Linked DNA regions of Arabidopsis thaliana. The protein of the gene in region 1 binds, or shares a complex with, the protein of each later gene. Each region holds a gene or a part of one and is shown in the gene's direction. Other genes may lie near its edges. The genes, in order: Pnsl5, PnsB4, NdhS and PnsB1.

Evidence for each region.
Region 2: Pnsl5 (region 1) and PnsB4 share a complex: the UniProt entries of both Arabidopsis thaliana proteins name them as parts of the chloroplast NDH complex.
Region 3: Pnsl5 (region 1) and NdhS share a complex: the UniProt entries of both Arabidopsis thaliana proteins name them as parts of the chloroplast NDH complex.
Region 4: Pnsl5 (region 1) and PnsB1 share a complex: the UniProt entries of both Arabidopsis thaliana proteins name them as parts of the chloroplast NDH complex.

The regions. Positions count from the first base shown.
Region 1 is NC_003076.8:4,161,675-4,166,477, reverse strand, and holds Pnsl5 (cyclophilin 20-2), read left to right. Parts: upstream 1-1,554; 5' UTR 1,555-1,757; coding exon 1,758-1,781; intron 1,782-1,874; coding exon 1,875-2,087; intron 2,088-2,231; coding exon 2,232-2,474; intron 2,475-3,057; coding exon 3,058-3,112; intron 3,113-3,306; coding exon 3,307-3,392; intron 3,393-3,605; coding exon 3,606-3,764; 3' UTR 3,765-4,104; downstream 4,105-4,803. UniProt on the Arabidopsis thaliana protein: NDH shuttles electrons from NAD(P)H:plastoquinone, via FMN and iron-sulfur (Fe-S) centers, to quinones in the photosynthetic chain and possibly in a chloroplast respiratory chain.
Region 2 is NC_003070.9:6,458,446-6,462,851, forward strand, and holds PnsB4 (NDH dependent flow 6), read left to right. Parts: upstream 1-1,957; 5' UTR 1,958-2,179; coding exon 2,180-2,245; intron 2,246-2,321; coding exon 2,322-2,363; intron 2,364-2,398; exon of another isoform or gene 2,399-2,450; coding exon 2,451-2,628; intron 2,629-2,728; coding exon 2,729-2,784; intron 2,785-2,872; coding exon 2,873-2,944; coding exon of another isoform or gene 2,945-3,019; exon of another isoform or gene 3,020-3,398; coding exon of another isoform or gene 3,399-3,404; exon of another isoform or gene 3,405-3,548; coding exon 3,549-3,662; 3' UTR 3,663-3,899; downstream 3,900-4,406. Other genes in the region: AT1G18720 (ER membrane protein, putative (DUF962)), read right to left, coding at 6-68, 851-1,213. UniProt on the Arabidopsis thaliana protein: NDH shuttles electrons from NAD(P)H:plastoquinone, via FMN and iron-sulfur (Fe-S) centers, to quinones in the photosynthetic chain and possibly in a chloroplast respiratory chain.
Region 3 is NC_003075.7:12,419,696-12,423,101, reverse strand, and holds NdhS (NAD(P)H-quinone oxidoreductase subunit S), read left to right. Parts: upstream 1-1,637; 5' UTR 1,638-1,756; coding exon 1,757-2,509; 3' UTR 2,510-2,688; downstream 2,689-3,406. Other genes in the region: AT4G23895 (Pleckstrin homology (PH) domain-containing protein), read right to left, coding at 1-6, 92-219; AT4G23885 (uncharacterized protein), read right to left, coding at 2,862-2,879, 3,064-3,209. UniProt on the Arabidopsis thaliana protein: NDH shuttles electrons from NAD(P)H:plastoquinone, via FMN and iron-sulfur (Fe-S) centers, to quinones in the photosynthetic chain and possibly in a chloroplast respiratory chain.
Region 4 is NC_003070.9:5,487,144-5,491,907, forward strand, and holds PnsB1 (NDH-dependent cyclic electron flow 1), read left to right. Parts: upstream 1-2,001; 5' UTR 2,002-2,170; coding exon 2,171-2,595; intron 2,596-2,693; coding exon 2,694-2,844; intron 2,845-2,931; coding exon 2,932-3,122; intron 3,123-3,194; coding exon 3,195-3,452; intron 3,453-3,531; coding exon 3,532-3,637; intron 3,638-3,723; coding exon 3,724-3,809; intron 3,810-3,887; coding exon 3,888-4,056; 3' UTR 4,057-4,160; downstream 4,161-4,764. Other genes in the region: AT1G15970 (DNA glycosylase superfamily protein), read right to left, coding at 72-155, 243-300, 889-1,351; CNGC7 (cyclic nucleotide gated channel 7), read right to left, coding at 4,161-4,764. UniProt on the Arabidopsis thaliana protein: NDH shuttles electrons from NAD(P)H:plastoquinone, via FMN and iron-sulfur (Fe-S) centers, to quinones in the photosynthetic chain and possibly in a chloroplast respiratory chain.

The DNA.
Region 1 (4,803 bases):
AGGTTTTTTCCAATTTTTTTAATTTTAAAATTTGAGATTTGAATTTAAGAGATTTTGTTGGTCTCTTAATTTTTCTTGGTTTAATGGTAGAAATTTTTAGTGAGTTTCTTATAGTAAAAAATATTATTAAAATGAAAATTATAAATATTCTATTTTATAAAATTTAATAATTAATACAAATACTAAAATTTTAAACCTACAAGAAATGAATATTGAGAATCGGAATAACAATTAGTAGTTAGTTTGATTCCCACCAAATTTGTGTTATATATGCTCAACCAAATCACCTTTCAATTGTTGATGCATAGCCCGATCACGAACTCGAGCACGAGAGACCATAAAATTACCGAGATTTGAAGACATATCTGTAGAGTAGTTAAAATAACTTGTGAAGAGATGGTTGATTCTGGTAGTATGAATTTAGATGCACCAAACGATTTTTTTCAATTTAGTCTTTGATTTGATTATTACGCCCTATGATGAGGAGCTCGACACATATCATCTTTCATCAACATTGACATCGCCATCGTAAATGGAAATAACGAAATGAAAACAATTCAACCGAAATGAAAAGAAAAAAATTGGGTCATATTTTTCCTTCTCTTCCCTCTCCACCAATAGAAGTTTGCCATGTAGGGTCCCTTTGTTGTTTGAAAAATACCGTAAGAGAGAAACAACCCTCTCAATTAAACTGATTTCTAATTTATTTTGGGCTATATAATTCAAGGGACCAACCCTCAAAAGCCCCTTAGAGGCTGCCGTTGGAGTTGGTCTCAGATACAAGGTTTAATTAGTTTTAACTTGCTCTAAAGCCTCTCTACTATAACTTTATTACATTTTGTTTAGTAACAAATGACATTCCCTCTTTTTCTCCCTTTTTGAAATAAATATTCTTTAGATTTACACAATTTTGTTGTTTTTTAGAACTGTTCATCGAAAAATTTCGTCATATTGTCACTAAACTTTTGTAACTTCTAAGAAATTTCCAATATGTTTTCAAAATTTTACCATATAAATACTAATTTTAAGAGAAAATTTGTATCAATAATATGGATTAAAACATGAAGTTAGATTTTTTTTAAAAAGCTTAAAGCCCAATTTTTTTAAAAAAATTGCAAATAATCAGTCTTGAGAATTGAGCATGTTACCAATTCATGTTATACGGAATTAACACTGAACTATATTTCGTTTAACCGTTAAATTATACATGGTACAAAAAAATTGATGTCGTTTACTACTATATAAATATTGTTGATGCCTTTTACTTGCTTGAGCCCAAGATCAACTCTACCTTCTATTTCCGTAATGAATGACAACATATAATCTTATAACTGTATTAATTTATAATTTTTTTATATGACTCGGTTAATTTCCGCGCGATGCATATTTTGTTTTGAAAAAATATTTTTGATTTGTATTTATGGTTTTATTTTCTTATATTAAATAAATATCAGAAATAGTGAACACACTATTTTCTTATAGTAGGTTTGTATTTTAGTTTATGAGATTAGTGTCATTTTGATACGATGAGTTTTTCTTTGTTTGCACTTTGCACAGGTAAATATGCTTCATAGGATCGGCTGACCTGACCCACTCAAAATTGACTCGATGCGAAGCCACGTAACCGGCAGGGGCATAACTGTAAATAACCATGGAATGTATTTCTCAGACTCTTTCGTGCTATCACTCGCTCATCGTCACCTTCACCTTCACCTACCATTTTTGCCAACAAACGCGAGCAAGAGTTTTGAGCTCCAATGGCGACCTTGTCGATGACTCTGGTGCGTTTAATTTTTCCCTTTTGTACTTTTGATTTTGTTTTACCTTTCCGCTTCTTCTGCTTCTCCTGCTCTAATTTTCGGTTATCATCATAGTCAAATCCGAAGTCGCTCTCAGCTCCTCCACGAAGACTTTCTCCGATCAATACCTCCGCTTTCACATCTACCTCTTTCCGATTGCGCACCAAATCTTCCTTCGATTCAATCTCGTTCTCGTCTTCAACTCCCTTCTCCGCCTCATCGCTCCTCCTTCACACGTCTTATACCAAAAGAAACCACCGCTGTTTCTCTGTTCAATCCAATGCTGAGGTTAGGGATTCTCTCATATCTTGTTAGTCACTGATGTCATTTGATGGAATTGGTTGTTTTATTCAGCTTACTCTTAGTTTTTTTTTTCCATTAGATTTACTAAAAGCTATGGAATCATAATATGATGTGGATTTTGTATTCCAGGTGGTTACTGAACCGCAATCGAAAATAACACACAAGGTGTATTTCGATATAAGTGTTGGCAATCCAGTGGGGAAGTTAGCTGGGAGGATTGTTATTGGATTGTATGGTGATGATGTTCCCCAAACTGTGGAGAACTTTCGTGCTCTATGCACAGGTGAAAAGGGATTTGGCTACAAGGGTTCTACATTCCATCGTGTCATCAGAGATTTCATGATTCAGGGAGGAGACTTTGAGAAGGGCAATGTGAGTTTTTCTGGCTGAATTCCTTGGCAGCACCAGTTTCTTGTTAGCTGACTTGCGGTCCATATTATGTTTCTTTTGATTTACTTTGGTTCATCTTATTTTCTGCCAAATCACAAAGTAAAGTAAGCTGTCTCATATCAGGATGGCAGGATGTTTATTAATTTCTTGGATGTGGTACATAGTATAAGTCAAATCTTTCTCGATAAGGAAGGATGCTTAAGTTCTTACTTGTACGGATTTAGAGTCGCTCTTGAAAGCACATGTTTGGGTACATTAATAGGAAAAAGCCTGACCTTTGGAGAGCTTTCTACAGACAATCTTTCTGATAGCTGGCTCTCTGATTTGTAGATCAGTGGCTTTAGAAGAACAACCCCTGTTAATCTTAGACTTTTGTTCTTTTCTATATAGATAATACCTGGGCTGTAGGGAACTTATATACTGGTTCGTGGGTATGCAACTAGCTGTAGCTCGGTAGAAATATATTGTTATTTTCTGTTTCTGCCCATCTCAGTTACCGAAGATTCTTCTAGTAACTGCTAGGAGAATTCCATAATAATGATACAGAAGTCTAATTGTTGAGCAGGGAACTGGAGGTAAAAGTGTATATGGCCGTACATTCAAGGATGAGAATTTCAAGTGTAAGTCTATCCTTTTTCACTTGTTTCCTTCTTCTTCATTCTCCCCAGCTGTGCTTTAGCATTCATATTTATCAGTGGTAATGCATTTTAACTAAACATTTCTGCATTCTCTTTTTAGCTGAGCTGAGTATAATATATACCAAACCTTCAGTTTTATAAAATTCATGAAAGTAATAATGTGCTATACGCTGCAGTATCCCATGTCGGACCAGGAGTTCTAAGTATGGCAAATGCTGGCCCTAATACAAATGGAAGTCAGTTCTTTATCTGCACTATTAAGGTAAAATCTCCCTCTGGTTAAGGCCTATTGTTAAATTAGAAGTTATACGTAGGCAAGCGAGCATCAACAATAAAGAACACAGGTATTACAGTATATAGAATCCAATAATATAACCTAAAGAGTAGAGTTTTGAAATTGGAAACGAAGAACCATCCAAGCTTTGTTGGGAAATTTAGTGTATATCAAATTAATATGCGATAACGATGTGGACAGACGTCATGGTTGGACGGAAGACATGTGGTGTTCGGGCAAGTAATAGAAGGAATGGAAGTGGTGAAGCTGATAGAGGAACAAGAGACAGACAGAGGAGACCGTCCCAGAAAGAAAGTGGTGATAGCAGACTGTGGTCAACTTCCAATGTCTGAAGCTTAAAAGTAAGATCATTTAACCAAAATCTTGTAGACATGAGATGGAGCTTGTTTTTGCATTTTACAACCCTTTCTTTTGTGTAATGGATTTGTATCCCCTTCTTCCAAAAATTTAAGAAAGAAATAGTATTCCGCTGCCGGGTGTTGAACTCATATTTCATTTCATTGGTTTGTTTCGAAATTAACCATTGTGTTATAGCGGTTCAGTTGCATTACTAAGATACAAAATCTGAAGATTCAAGAGTAGTCGATGCAGTTGTGAAATTGGTCTGTGTAATACAGCGGATTTGTTGGTTTGGTATACGAGCAATTTGTATTTAAAGTCCGATCTCTTCATAAAAAAGTAAGAACAACAATTGAAACAAAAAATATTCCGCTGCCCGGATTTGATCCCGGATTTCATTTTGAGTAGTGAAATTGGCCTGTGTGCTACAGCGGACTTGTTTGATTTATATACGAGGGATTTGTTTTTAAAGTCTGATATCTTATTGAAAACAATACTAATTAAAATAATAAGTATTCCGCTGCCGGGGTTTGATCCCGGATTTCATATTGAGTAGTGAAATTGGCCTGTGTGCTACAGCGGACTTTTTGGTTTTGTATATGAGTGATTTGTATTTAAAGTCTGATATCTTATTGAAAACTAACTAATTGAACCAAAAAGTATTACGCTGCCGAGGTTTGAGCCCGGATTTCAAATTCTGTTGTGAAATTGGCATGTGTGCTACAGCGGACTTGTTGAACATGTATCCGATCAATTTGTATATAAAGTCTGCTTTCAGATTAATGAACAATATAATTACTTGTACCTATCACATGTTTGTATTTTAGTGTTCTTTCTTTTTGGTCAACCTTTTCTAGATACAAGATATCTCTGAATACTAGAAGAGCACACCATAAAAAGAAGACATTTTCCTTGTAGAGAATAAGAGAAACCCCTTTGGTTTATTTATTTATTAAATGGTACATAACCAAATTGCACAAATTAAAGCTGTAAAAAGAGGCGTAGAAAAAGCTTGAATCCTAGATAAATCTATTATCAA
Region 2 (4,406 bases), on another chromosome or scaffold:
CTTACCTCGAATACTCCATGGCCAACGAACTGCCCGGTCCAACATAACAGCTGAGATGCTAACCCAACCTGAGTAAAAAGACAATTAAATTGTTACAGTATCTACATAACAGAGAGAGTTGGCGTCTTGGTGAGTATTAACTGTTTTCCCCTTGCTGTTGAATACATATAACAAACTAATCAAATGATTCAGACTGAAGATACATATAAACTAATCAAATGATTCACAACACAGAAGATACATAAAAAAGCTCCTAAGTTACAGATGTCTCAAATACTATGGAAGAAAAACCAAACTTTAGTTAAACAAGTGATGTAGATTCTAATTATCTGAGACCATCCAAATGTTGGTGGTCAAGAACAACACTTGTTTCCGTCCAAGCACACATCAAATCCTCTTAACCAATGAGTCAACAACACTAAAAACATGACAAGTCTCCGGACCAAAGAATCAGAACCGTGCAAAGGTGGACAATTGCAGAACAAACTGCAATAACTACTAATCATGAATGTTCAAAGCTAGAGACATGATATTAGTACTGCTGTCTCAACGTTAACAGCTAATGAAGGGACCCATAGACAACAGATAGAGAGGACTAATGATATAAATAAATCTATTTCTTCTTCCCCGAGCATAACCAATGATATAAACGAACTTTCAAGTCAAAGCATAGAAAACAATGAACAATAAATGCATGAACCACACTCACATCATATAAATATACACATAGAGCAACACATGGATACACATAGTCATATACCCTCATAAACATGCTTCTACGCAATTATTTTCTCCAAAAATGAAGTTTTTTCAAAAACCCTAAATTGAAATTAGAGAAAAAAAATCTAACCTTTAAGGCAAGAGAAGATCCTAGTCGAACAGCAAGAAAACTGGAACCAACCCAGCAAGAGAAACACATAAGAGCAGCTACAAATCCAGATTTCTTATCCAAACCGATATAGAACAGAGCATAAATCAAGGCGAATATAAACCCAACGTTAAATCGCAAAACGCCGTCGAGGGTCAACGATTGAGAAAACCCTAATTGAGAGGGGTCGAAAATTGGGGTCGACGAGTGGAGGAGAAGTAAAACTGAGAAGAAGATTGGCCAAACGAAGATGATGTGGATTAGAATGTTGATCGGATTGCTATGGTAAGCACCGTAGAAGGCGAAGTGTTTCTCGAGATCGAACAATCCCATTATGCGACTCATGGATAAAAAATTCGTTGAGGAAGAGGTGTTTTTATGAGGAGAAGATCGGTGGAAATTGGATAATAGTCACCAAACAGAGGAGATTAAAGATATACACGGGAAGAAGACGAAAGTGGAAAGTTTGATTAGCAATTTCCCGAAAATGATGCTAACGTGCGCTTTTTAATAGCTAACATGCGCTTTTTAAAGCGATAGAAGTTGACTTGGCCGGAGATTTTCTTCCGACTTTTGACAAAATACTAGTCGCTAAGAAGAGTAGACGTGTTATTGTGATTGCTAACATGCGCGAATAAAAGCTGGTTTAGATGGATATACATCATTGAAAGTTTGGCAAATAGAACATACACTATTCAACGAATGATGTATTTGGGATGATTGCTAACATGCGCGCATAGGAAGTTGAATTAGATGGAAATATCATTAAAAGTTTGGCAATAGTTGCCAACGTACGCTATTCAACAAATGATGTATTTGGGAAGAGACATAAGCGGAAAGTTTGAATTTCACCAACCAAAGATTTATTAGCAATTTTAGTGTGGTTACTAACTTGCACGTCTAGAGGAGTGAACGTGTTTAGTGATTGCTAACCTGCGCGAATGGAAAGTTTGTTGGACGGGTAAAATACGAAAGTTTGTAGTTGAATTTTGCTGGAAATATCTTTACCACTCTTTAAGGCAAATAGTTGTTCCCAACCTGAGCGTTTTAGAAGGCTAAAATGTGTACTGTGATTGTCTAAATTGGGCTTTTAAAAGACAAAAAAAGTGTTATGCGATGTGATTGCTAACGTACGTTATTTTTTTATTTTGTTTATCACAAAAGTGAAGAGTGGACGATACCAATTCCCTTATCCACACATTTTCTGCCTCAAAAAATCTAATCTTAAAGATTAAAATAAATGAAAAAATAAAAAAGATTACACCAACATTTTTTTTTTTTCTTCTCCATTGCCACCATCAAGAAGTAACAATGGCTGAAGCTTTCACAAGTTTCACCTTCACAAATCTTCATATTCCTTCTTCCTACAATCACTCGGTACATATTATTTTATATTCTTACCAAAAATATTTCATTACGAAAAAAAGTTTAAGAATTGTGTATTGTGTTGTAGCCGAAGCAGAATTCAGGACCGAATCATGGATATTGGCTATCTGTAAGTAATTTTCTCTAACTAAGACTAAAATTAGAAAAAAAATCTCCATATTCTTGTGAATTTACGTCTTAGAATTTGAAAAATTAGAAGAATGTTAATGAGAAGAGGGAAAGGAATTTGATGAGAGGAAGCTTATGTGTAAGAAAGGCATTGCCACATGATTTGCCATTAATGGCTGTGATGGTTCAACAAATAGAAGGAATGCGTGATATCATTACAGAGAAACACGTGTGGCATCTAAGTGATAAAGCTATCAAGAATGTTTGTAAGTTAAACACTTGGGGTTTCTTGAGAGATTTTATTTTCTTTCTTAGACTTTTTTTTCTTCTTTTTCTTATGTTTTGATATTGATCTTGATATGGCAGATATGTTCTACATCATGTTCACTTGTTGGGGATGTTTGTACTTCGGTTCAGCAAAAGTATGAAAACAACAACTCAAACTGAATCTTTTGATACATTTGCTGCATTGGGATCTTAATAGTACTTTGTGATATTGGATCAATACAGGATCCATTCTACGACTCAGAGGAGTACCGTGGAGATGGAGGGGATGGAACTGGATATTGGGTCTATGAAACTGTATGTATCTCTCCCTTTCTAATACTATTAGGAAAGAAAGAAAAAAACTTAGAAATGCATACAAATTATAACTAGGGATGTTGCAATGGACCGACCAACCCGCTGTGGTCTTACTAGACCCTGTGGACCAGTTCAGATCTAGTTTGACCTCAGACTATCCCACCTTGGTCTTAGTAGGCCATGTAGACCTGTTCAGAGCCGGTTTTGAGTACTCCTCCATGTGTCTCAGCATGCGATAAACCTCCCTAAACAAAGAAAAATAGGTGGCTTTTAGGTTAGCGTTTACCGTTGGTATATATGCACCCAAAAATATGAATCCACAACCTTGATCATCTAAACGAAAGTCACAATCTGATAGATGGTAGGTAACATTGATCCATCCTATTGATAGATCAATCATGCTTAGTAAGTTTGAGCCGGGTTGGGCTTGATATAATAATTCAAACGTTAACAGATCTGATGGTAGGTAACATTGATCCTAAGTTGGGTCGGGCTGGGCTTGCTCGGGCCATTGACCTTTGGTATATCATCACAGATTCACAATGTGTACAACTATTATAAGATTGGATAGAGTTGTTATTGTGTTTTGGGTTATATGATGCAGCAAGAAGACATAGAAGAGAAAGCAAGAGCGGAGCTATGGCGTGAAGAACTTATCGAAGAAATTGAACAGAAGGTTGGTGGCTTAAGAGAGCTTGAAGAAGCTGTTACTAAGTAGAAAACTAACTTGTGAATCATAAACCACTTTACATACACATTATATATTTTCTTATATCAGTCATGCAACATTATATATACTCTCTAGCTTCCATATATATAATATATGTTATGTACTTCTTTGTTGTCTTGTGTTCTGAATCATTGAACGATCATGTTAGGAGCAATTGTCTCCTTCAGAAATTTATTGTTGACGACATCCGATGTCTTAAAAATATAAATAATTATGTTTGGTAAACTATCTTAATTTGCTTTTCTTGATTTCTTCGGTCGCAAGTTGGTCAGAGTGAATATTTATTATTTTTAAGTATAAAAAATTTAGTCAATTGGGGCTAAATTAATTGGTCGTATAGACTGGAAAGTGAGTCTGATGAGGAACAATTAGCGGGAAATACGCTTCTGCACGATTCTACCTGACAAAAACCAAAACTAATCAATCTTTAAAAACAAAAAATAAGTTAGCAGAGGTGAAGAAGGAGAGCTTGTCATGTCTTTGTCAGTAACCTTCGTGCTTCCATGTTTCAAAGCCTCTTCGAGCTTGTAATTGTAAACCACACGTGTGGTTTATTGTTTTTGTTTTCTTTTCAAATTTAAGTTTAATTTTCAGATATTTCTTTTTTTTGTGTGTGTGTTAGGAACACATGACAGGAGATATGATGTAACATTTTTATTTAAACAAAAAAAAGATCTGCATCACTGCATGTAGTGTATTTTGTCGTGTGTCAATTAATTCTTATAGTTGTAC
Region 3 (3,406 bases), on another chromosome or scaffold:
TAAGGCCTACTCTAAACAAAACCACCCGAAAAAACAATTCATTTCAGCTCAGAATTTCCCTTCTTAGCATATTTATTCGCTAACAATTTACCTCAGAGAACTATCGTCCTTTGGCTGCGAAGATGATGGAGTATCGTGCTGAGAAGATTCTGCTGTGGGACTAGGAGCACTAAAGTGATCAGGTAATATGTTTAGCTTCTTAGGAGTACCATCATCCATGAATTGAAACGACTCCAGAACCTTCCACTAGAAAATGAATCAAAGCTTAGCCAGAGATGAAACTACTCTAAAACTCTCAGCTTGTAGTACATTGATTCCCCAAAAGAAGTCGAAAAAATCACATAGTTAAAAACTTTTTTGTCCATTCAAGAGATGTCATCTGAGCATGATCTAATCTAGATTCTGATATGAGACAAACTCCTATATGAACTTTAGCATTCCATGAACATTATTTAATCTCCCTAAATGACTTGTCTCTCAGTCTCTATCTTATGCTTATTCTTATCATAGATCTAATCCACAAGTATGTATGTATCATCACTTGGAGAGATATATAACTACTAAAAATCCTTATTCCTCACTGAGGATCAAACATACCTCTTTATATATCTTTCAACGCCGAATTTTACAATCCCACTTCACCAGAAATTTTGATATCCCTTGTGAGAAATCAGCTCGCTGTAAAAGAAAAACAAAGTTCAGCTTCTACAAAAAGAAAGAGGACGAAAATGAACTCTTTCTTTTTCCCATTCTAGATTTTATTAGCTCAAATTAAAAACAACAGAATCGAATTTTCTGGAAACCCTAACAAAATACAAAAACATTGAGCAGAAATAGAAGCTCGGAAGTCGGAATCGAATGACGGGAACCTCGAATAATTTGAAAAAATTGACTGAAGAGAAGATCGAGACCTTGTTTTTACCTGATCGAATGTGATCTCTGTATTCAAGGGAAAGTGTTTACGCAATTGGTTTTTTGGTTGAGTGCTTACTGCTTCAGCAGGAAGAAGATGTTGGGTTTGGGAATTTTACTCATAAAGAAACTTTAAATTTGGTACCAAAAAGACGCTTTTATCCCCCGGTTAGGTTGCGTCAGCCAGCTCTACCCACATGGGCATTGCTGCAGATATTACAAGTTTTGTAATTTGTTAACGAATGTTTGTAAACTTTTGACTAATCTTATCTACAATATAATGAATTTATCGAATCAATGTAAAAGTTGTTTTCATTCATGCTTAATACATTAATTGATCAAAGTTGCCAACTAAGTATTTGGTGATGCCGATGAGTGTAAAGGACAGCCTAAGACAAAAGTGTATGTCTAATTATGATTTGGGAGTATGGGATTCCAATTATTAATGTCGTTGACCCAAATGATTTATCTTCTTCTTGCTGCTTTTTTCTTAATAAACAAACAAATCCACATTATTAGCATTTAGCAATATGTTTAATTACATTACCATTGTTTTTAATCTAGGCCCATATCTCTTAAGAATATTCAAACTTGGTCCAGGTTAAACTTATGACAAAGCCCAAATGTTCCTACTCTTTCTCCTAAATCATTATTCCAAACACCGGTTACGCATTAACCGGTTCAGGTCCACTGGTAATTTGGAAATAGATAGAACTCATCTAACTGAAATCATGATATGTGGTCATTATAACAAGCGAATCAATCACACGCTTCTTCCTTCCTCTTCCATCTTCTTCATATCTCCCTTAGTCACCTCTACTCTACTCTGCAGGCAAAAATAGTTATGGCGACTTCTTCGATCACTATCCCGACCATTAGAACTCCGATTCATCGATCAAAATTTCTAGGCCAAACACATCAATTTTCAACTGTAAACCGGTCGGTTTTCCCGCCTCCAAAACAGCAGTCAAAACTGTATCAAGTAAAGGCCATGGGTAAATTCAATCTATGGGAAGTGATGGGAGGAAGAGGATTATGCAACGGAGAGAAAGGTATTGAGAAGGAGCTCCAGAGGAACATTGAAGACGAGCAAGAGACATCAAAGGCTGAGAACAACGAGACAGAGAGAGAGAGCGATGACAGTAACTTGTCTTTTAAAGTACCTGAAGATGGTTTCGAGAAAGAGATGATGGGTCTCACAGGAGGATTTCCCGGTGGCGAAAAGGGTTTAAAAACGTTTATCGAAAAAAATCCACCACCTCCTCCACCACCACCACCTGCAAAACAAGGAAGCGATGCATCCGCGGTTGCTACAGATAAGAAGCCGAAAGCGCCCAAGCTACCCCTTCTCATGCCGGGGATGATTGCTATAGTCAAGAACCAGAACAGTCCGTATCACATGTATTGTGGAATTGTGCAGAGGATCACTGATGGAAAAGCTGGTGTCTTGTTCGAAGGAGGAAACTGGGACCGTCTCATTACTTTCAGGCTTGAAGAGCTTGAACGAAGAGAAAAAGGTCCACCGGGTAAGAATCCAAAGTCTTGTATTCTCGAGCCTCTTATCGAACAGATGCAAAAGGAAGAGGCAGCACCATAAGTGATCTTCTCTTCTCTGTATGTAAGTTCCTGTGAATGTATATGTAACGTACCTTTGCGTTTTAGGCTACAATATTTCTGACTGGTTCTAAAAGAGCTTCATCATGTGATATAAAAAAAAGAATAAACGATGAATTTCAATCATAAAGCACTTAATAATAGAGATTCAAATGCACTCAATCAATGATGAATCAGTATAGAAGTTAAAAACTGCAATGGAGTAGTTTTATTGTTATCATTGGTTGTTGTAAACATCAACCATATCAGTTTCTTCTTGACTATCGAGTATATTCTGTAAATGGTAAAGATGAGAAGTGATCCACCATTCTTGTCAACAGATCATGTTGAAATGATCAGATGCAGCCTCCCAACTGTAAAAAAAATTCAGAAAAGGATAAGGAAGTTAGAAACAGAACAATATTATTAAATCATGAAAAGGGTTCTCTCAACTTGTAATTGGTCACATAATTATAACTTAGTAGTTGGTCACACATTATACTGTTAGATACATGTTCATCTAAGTGTTGTTATACATGTCAAAATGAAGTTACATACCAAAATGGCTTCCATTTCTTCGTTTGAAACTGGCGTGCGCTTTGGCTGCGATGATGCCTTCCCGCCAGTAGTCTTTTGGATGTTGTTCAAATTGGAGAAGAACAATGTATCAGCTTCATTTGCCACCTGACTCTTTCCCTCTGAAGCTGCAATGCCAGAAAGTAAATCGCATAACAAACAGATGATTACCCAAACCAAAAGCTAAAAAACATAAGAGCTTCTCTATAATGATTCGAGATTTGATAACAAACACGATTCGATTCAATGGCTAAACAAATCTGTGTATCCTTTGAATCTAACTATGTAAATGCAAATCAATCAGAGCGAAATAGATCGGAAAGCA
Region 4 (4,764 bases), on another chromosome or scaffold:
TACTGGCTTAGCATCAGAAGTTTATATTGCGAATTCAAAATTCATATTACTAAAGAACTTGGTTTGGTTACCTGAGTATATGTCTTCTGGAGAGAATGTCGGTCCATGAGAGTTCGGCTAGAGCACCAGAGAGGCATAATAACTCAAAAAGCTTCCTACACAAGTTAACCAAGCGGTAAGAGACTCTTATAACTACAAAGTGTATCTCAGATAGAAGGAAAATAGTTGAGGATGCCACATACTTGTCGTCATGTACAGGAACTCCCCATTCTTCGTCATGGAAAGCAACATAGCACGGGTCTTTACAACGTAGAAAAACGCAACATTATTAGTCAATTTACAGCAGAGAAAGATATGAAGCATGAGAGAACAACAAAGAATAATGGAAAGTGCCTCTTGGCATGGAAACATTTATGCTCATTAGTATAGAGAATCCAGAAAACGCTGTTTGGCTTACACTAAAAGCATAAACGAAGTGGATCTATCAGCTAATCAAAACATCCTTCATCTAAATTTCATGGACACTGAGAAGTTAAAATATTTATAAGAGAACTTCAGGACAAGCTACTTCATAAGTTATGCAACATAGCAAATGATCTACACAATGCTCACTGAATAAAATACATAGCAATTGAAACATTTTGTTGGCCATTGAATTACTTAATATTCACATACAGAAGAACATAATTAGATCAAACAAAAAACACTAGCTCCTTGTCTCAATTCAGTCCCATTTGATTCAACTAGATAAGAACTTTATCATCTCACACAATCAGGCTAAACTCAATCTCACATTCACATTTTCACTCATTTCATTTATTTGAATGCATCTAAAGTCAAAAGCTCTCTCACTATGCAATGTGTGATAGGTGAAAGTTTGATGCTTACCAGCTTTAGGTGTGATCCAAGCACACCTTTTACGACCATCAGCGAAGCAATCACCAGAAACCTTCTCTTCTTCTTTCCCAACACTCAGCTTCCTTGTAGAAGAGACAGACCCACTTCGCCTCACAACCTTCTTACAGCTCGAAGAAGACGCCACGCTCAAAGGCGATGACTCACACGAAGACGAAGCATCAGAGGAATACGAAGCAGTCATTGAAGCACTATTCTTTCTCAAAATCGAAGAGCAAAGAGACGAGCATTGCTTCAGAGTCGTCCTTGGTGAAGCCGGAGTAGTTGGTTTCTTCGCTTTCTCATCTTTTGAGTCGATGATGGTCTTCTCCATCATCGGCTTCTCCAGTTTCATCCCCGGTGGTTTCCTCTGCAGCTTGTTCCCGGTAGGACCAAGAACTGATCGGAACTCTCGCTCATCGGAATTTACGGACCGGAATCTAGGAGGAACCGACATTGACCCGATTCTCACAAAAAACTGCTTTTTGATTTCACAGATCTATCACTGGATCACACAACAACAACAAAATTGCTATTTCCAACAGTCTCGAAACTTATTTCAAGAGATTATATATCGGAAGGCCTAGACTTTACAGCTACATTAGCACCAAAAATGAAACTTTTTTGTCACCGCTAAATATCTCATTTTTAGGAATCTTCTAGTAAAACTAAACCAAGTTGCTTGCTGTGTTCACGAGAAAAGCAAGGTTAGAAACAATGAGCAACAAAATAAAATCTTTGAACAATGAAGAAAAAAAAAGCTTTTGACTTCAGAAAAACCCAGAAAAAAAAAAGAAAGAAAGAAGCTTTTTCTGATCGACGACGAAACGAATCAAATCGAGAGAGAGAGACGAGGAGAAAAGGTCATTCACCAGTCACGACTTAACACGTCATCGTTTGGTTCTTCTGCTTTTTCTGTTCTTTTGTTCCTCGACCCGACAATGAAACGGGTCCTTATTGCTCGACCCGACAAGTTAAATGGTTTAATTGCTTACTGTAATCAGTTGGTTAATGCTTCTGAGTTCTGAGATTAGGAATGTTTCTTTGCTCGTGCGTATCAACCAATGTAAAGACAAAAGTTTTAATTAATCGAACAGAGAATAATTTCTGGAATTGCCATAACCAAAATAAATAAATTAAATGCTAAGTTTTCTTCTATGGTCGGAAAATTGCCACAAAAGGGACCCACTTATCCTAAGTTCCTACAGAGATCTGTTTTCTTTCACAACATTTAAAAATCCAAACTTTTCTTTCTTTGGCTCAAAAAAACCTTCCAATGGCTTCTTCACTTCCTCTGTTACCCAAACCCATTTCCCCATTCTTTAAAACGCCGCCGTTTTCTACCTCCAAACCACTCGTCTTCCTCAACTTTCAAACTCGTCTTACGTCGAGATCTTCCGATGTATCGGTCAATCTCAAGAAGAAGAATAATCCGTGGCTCGACCCGTTTGATAGCGGTGAAGACCCGGATAACGAATACGGGTCCTTGTTTGCCGACGGAAAACAAGACGAGGATCCAAGACCACCGGATAATCCTGATAACCCTTACGGCTTCTTGAAGTTTCCAAAGGGTTACACCGTCGAGCTTGCTTCTTTACCGTTGAAAATCAGAGGAGATGTTAGACGATGTTGCTGCGTTATCTCCGGTGGCGTTTACGAGAATCTACTCTTTTTCCCGACTATTCAGCTAATCAAAGACAGGTAATAAAAGTATAAGACTCTGTCTCCGATTCGACATTTTTTTAAAACCTTAAACTGAAATGCAGAACATTGTCCGTACGTTTCTGTTGTTTTGTAAGGTATCCTGGTGTTCAGGTAGATATATTAACGACTGAAAGAGGAAAACAAACATACGAGCTAAACAAAAACGTGAGATGGGCCAATGTGTATGATCCGGATGATCATTGGCCTGAACCAGCTGAATACACAGACATGATCGGACTCCTCAAAGTTTGTAACTTTCAAATATTTCAACGTTTTTTCTATCTTTCCTTTATCAGACTGCTTAGTTAACTTTTCTTTTAAGTCATGTTTCAGGGAAGGTACTATGACATGGTTCTGTCCACGAAGCTAGCAGGGTTAGGCCACGCAGCGTTCTTGTTCATGACAACGGCTCGAGACAGGGTTAGTTACATTTACCCGAATGTTAACTCTGCAGGAGCTGGTCTGATGCTGTCCGAGACCTTTACAGCAGAAAATACCAACCTTTCAGAATTAGGTTATAGCATGTGAGTTCCTTGAAACCGAAGAAACTGCAGGTTTTTTTATCGCCTGTCTAAATTGACTGTTGATGGTTTCAGGTATACTCAGATGGAAGATTGGTTAGGAAGACCGTTTAGGAGTGTTCCAAGGACTCCTCTGTTGCCACTTAGGGTATCGATTTCACGGAAAGTGAAAGAGGTTGTGGCTGCAAAGTATAGGAATGCTGGAGCAGTGACGGGGAAGTTTATAGTGATTCATGGTATTGAATCAGATTCTAAGGCATCAATGCAATCAAAAGGAGATGCTGATAGTTTACTTTCACTTGAAAAATGGGCTAAGATTATAAAGGGTGTAAGGTAATTATTACACACCTTCAAAATGTGAATTTTTTGCTTAGTTTGAAATTCTCTGAGATATGATTGTGAACAATGCCAGGGGATTCAAGCCGGTCTTTGTGATTCCACATGAGAAAGAAAGAGAAAACGTTGAAGATTTTGTGGGTGATGATACATCTATAGTGTTCATCACAACACCAGGACAGGTATGCATGCTTATCTGTCTGTATTTGTTATGAACAAAGTTGAATTCACTGATCTTACTTTGATTCCTTTTCTTGAGCTTACTTAGTTGGCTGCTCTGATAAACGATTCTGCTGGAGTCATCGCAACAAACACAGCTGCGATTCAACTAGCTAATGCGCGAGACAAACCATGGTGAATACCTGAGTAATATAAAGAGTACTGATTCAATGTTTTCAAGAACTAACATGTGTGTGCTTCTTTTTCTTCCAGTATTGGGTTGTTCTCTTCAGAAGAGAAAGGGAAGCTCTTTGTACCGTATGCAGAAGAGAAGAGTAACTGTGTAATTATTGCTTCGAAGACTGGAAAACTAGCAGATATCGACATTGGAACTGTTAAAAATGCAATGCAGGTCTTTGAAGGATCATTGGCTCTCGTGTAGATAACTTTACAGTTTCTGAAACAAGTTCTATATATAGAGCATTTATGTGTATAAATCAGTTATGTAGTCTCTGTTCTGATGTTGGCCTCTCATCAAGAATTGGATTATTCAGCATCAAAATCAGGTTCCGGAGGCTTTTGCAGATTTATCAAGGTCTTTGAACTCTCTGAGCTCCTAAGTCTGTGCCCTTTCAATGCATTAGCAGCAAATCTTGATGCAAATATCGTTGAACGCAGTCTAGAAGAAGACTCACTTCTTGTGATAACCATAGGCCTCTTGTCACTCTCATCATCATATTCATCTTCATAACCCAATTCTTCTTCTTTTTCTTCAATCCGTCTCAATTCAGCGTTTTTCCTTCTTGAATAGCGACGCCAAGCAGCTTGGATGAAGCAAGAAGCCCAAGTTCTCCATTGCTGAGAGTAAAACCTAAATGTTTGTTGAACCTGTCGACTATGAAGTCTCCTAAACTGACTTGCTACAAACTTCAGCTCTTCAGCTTCAAGAGCGAAAGCCTCTACTTCAGTCAGAGCCTTCACTGTTCTTGTGGAAGAAGGTAAGTTTGAGCCTGCTTTAGGGTCAAGAGCCCATGTCAGAAGCTCTTCACCACAAAAGTCTCCTTCTTTTAACAACCCTCTGTTGAAGAAACCGCTTCTTCCCCCATCTGTTGTTACACTTTCTAACCGGCCTCGGATTATGAACATCATT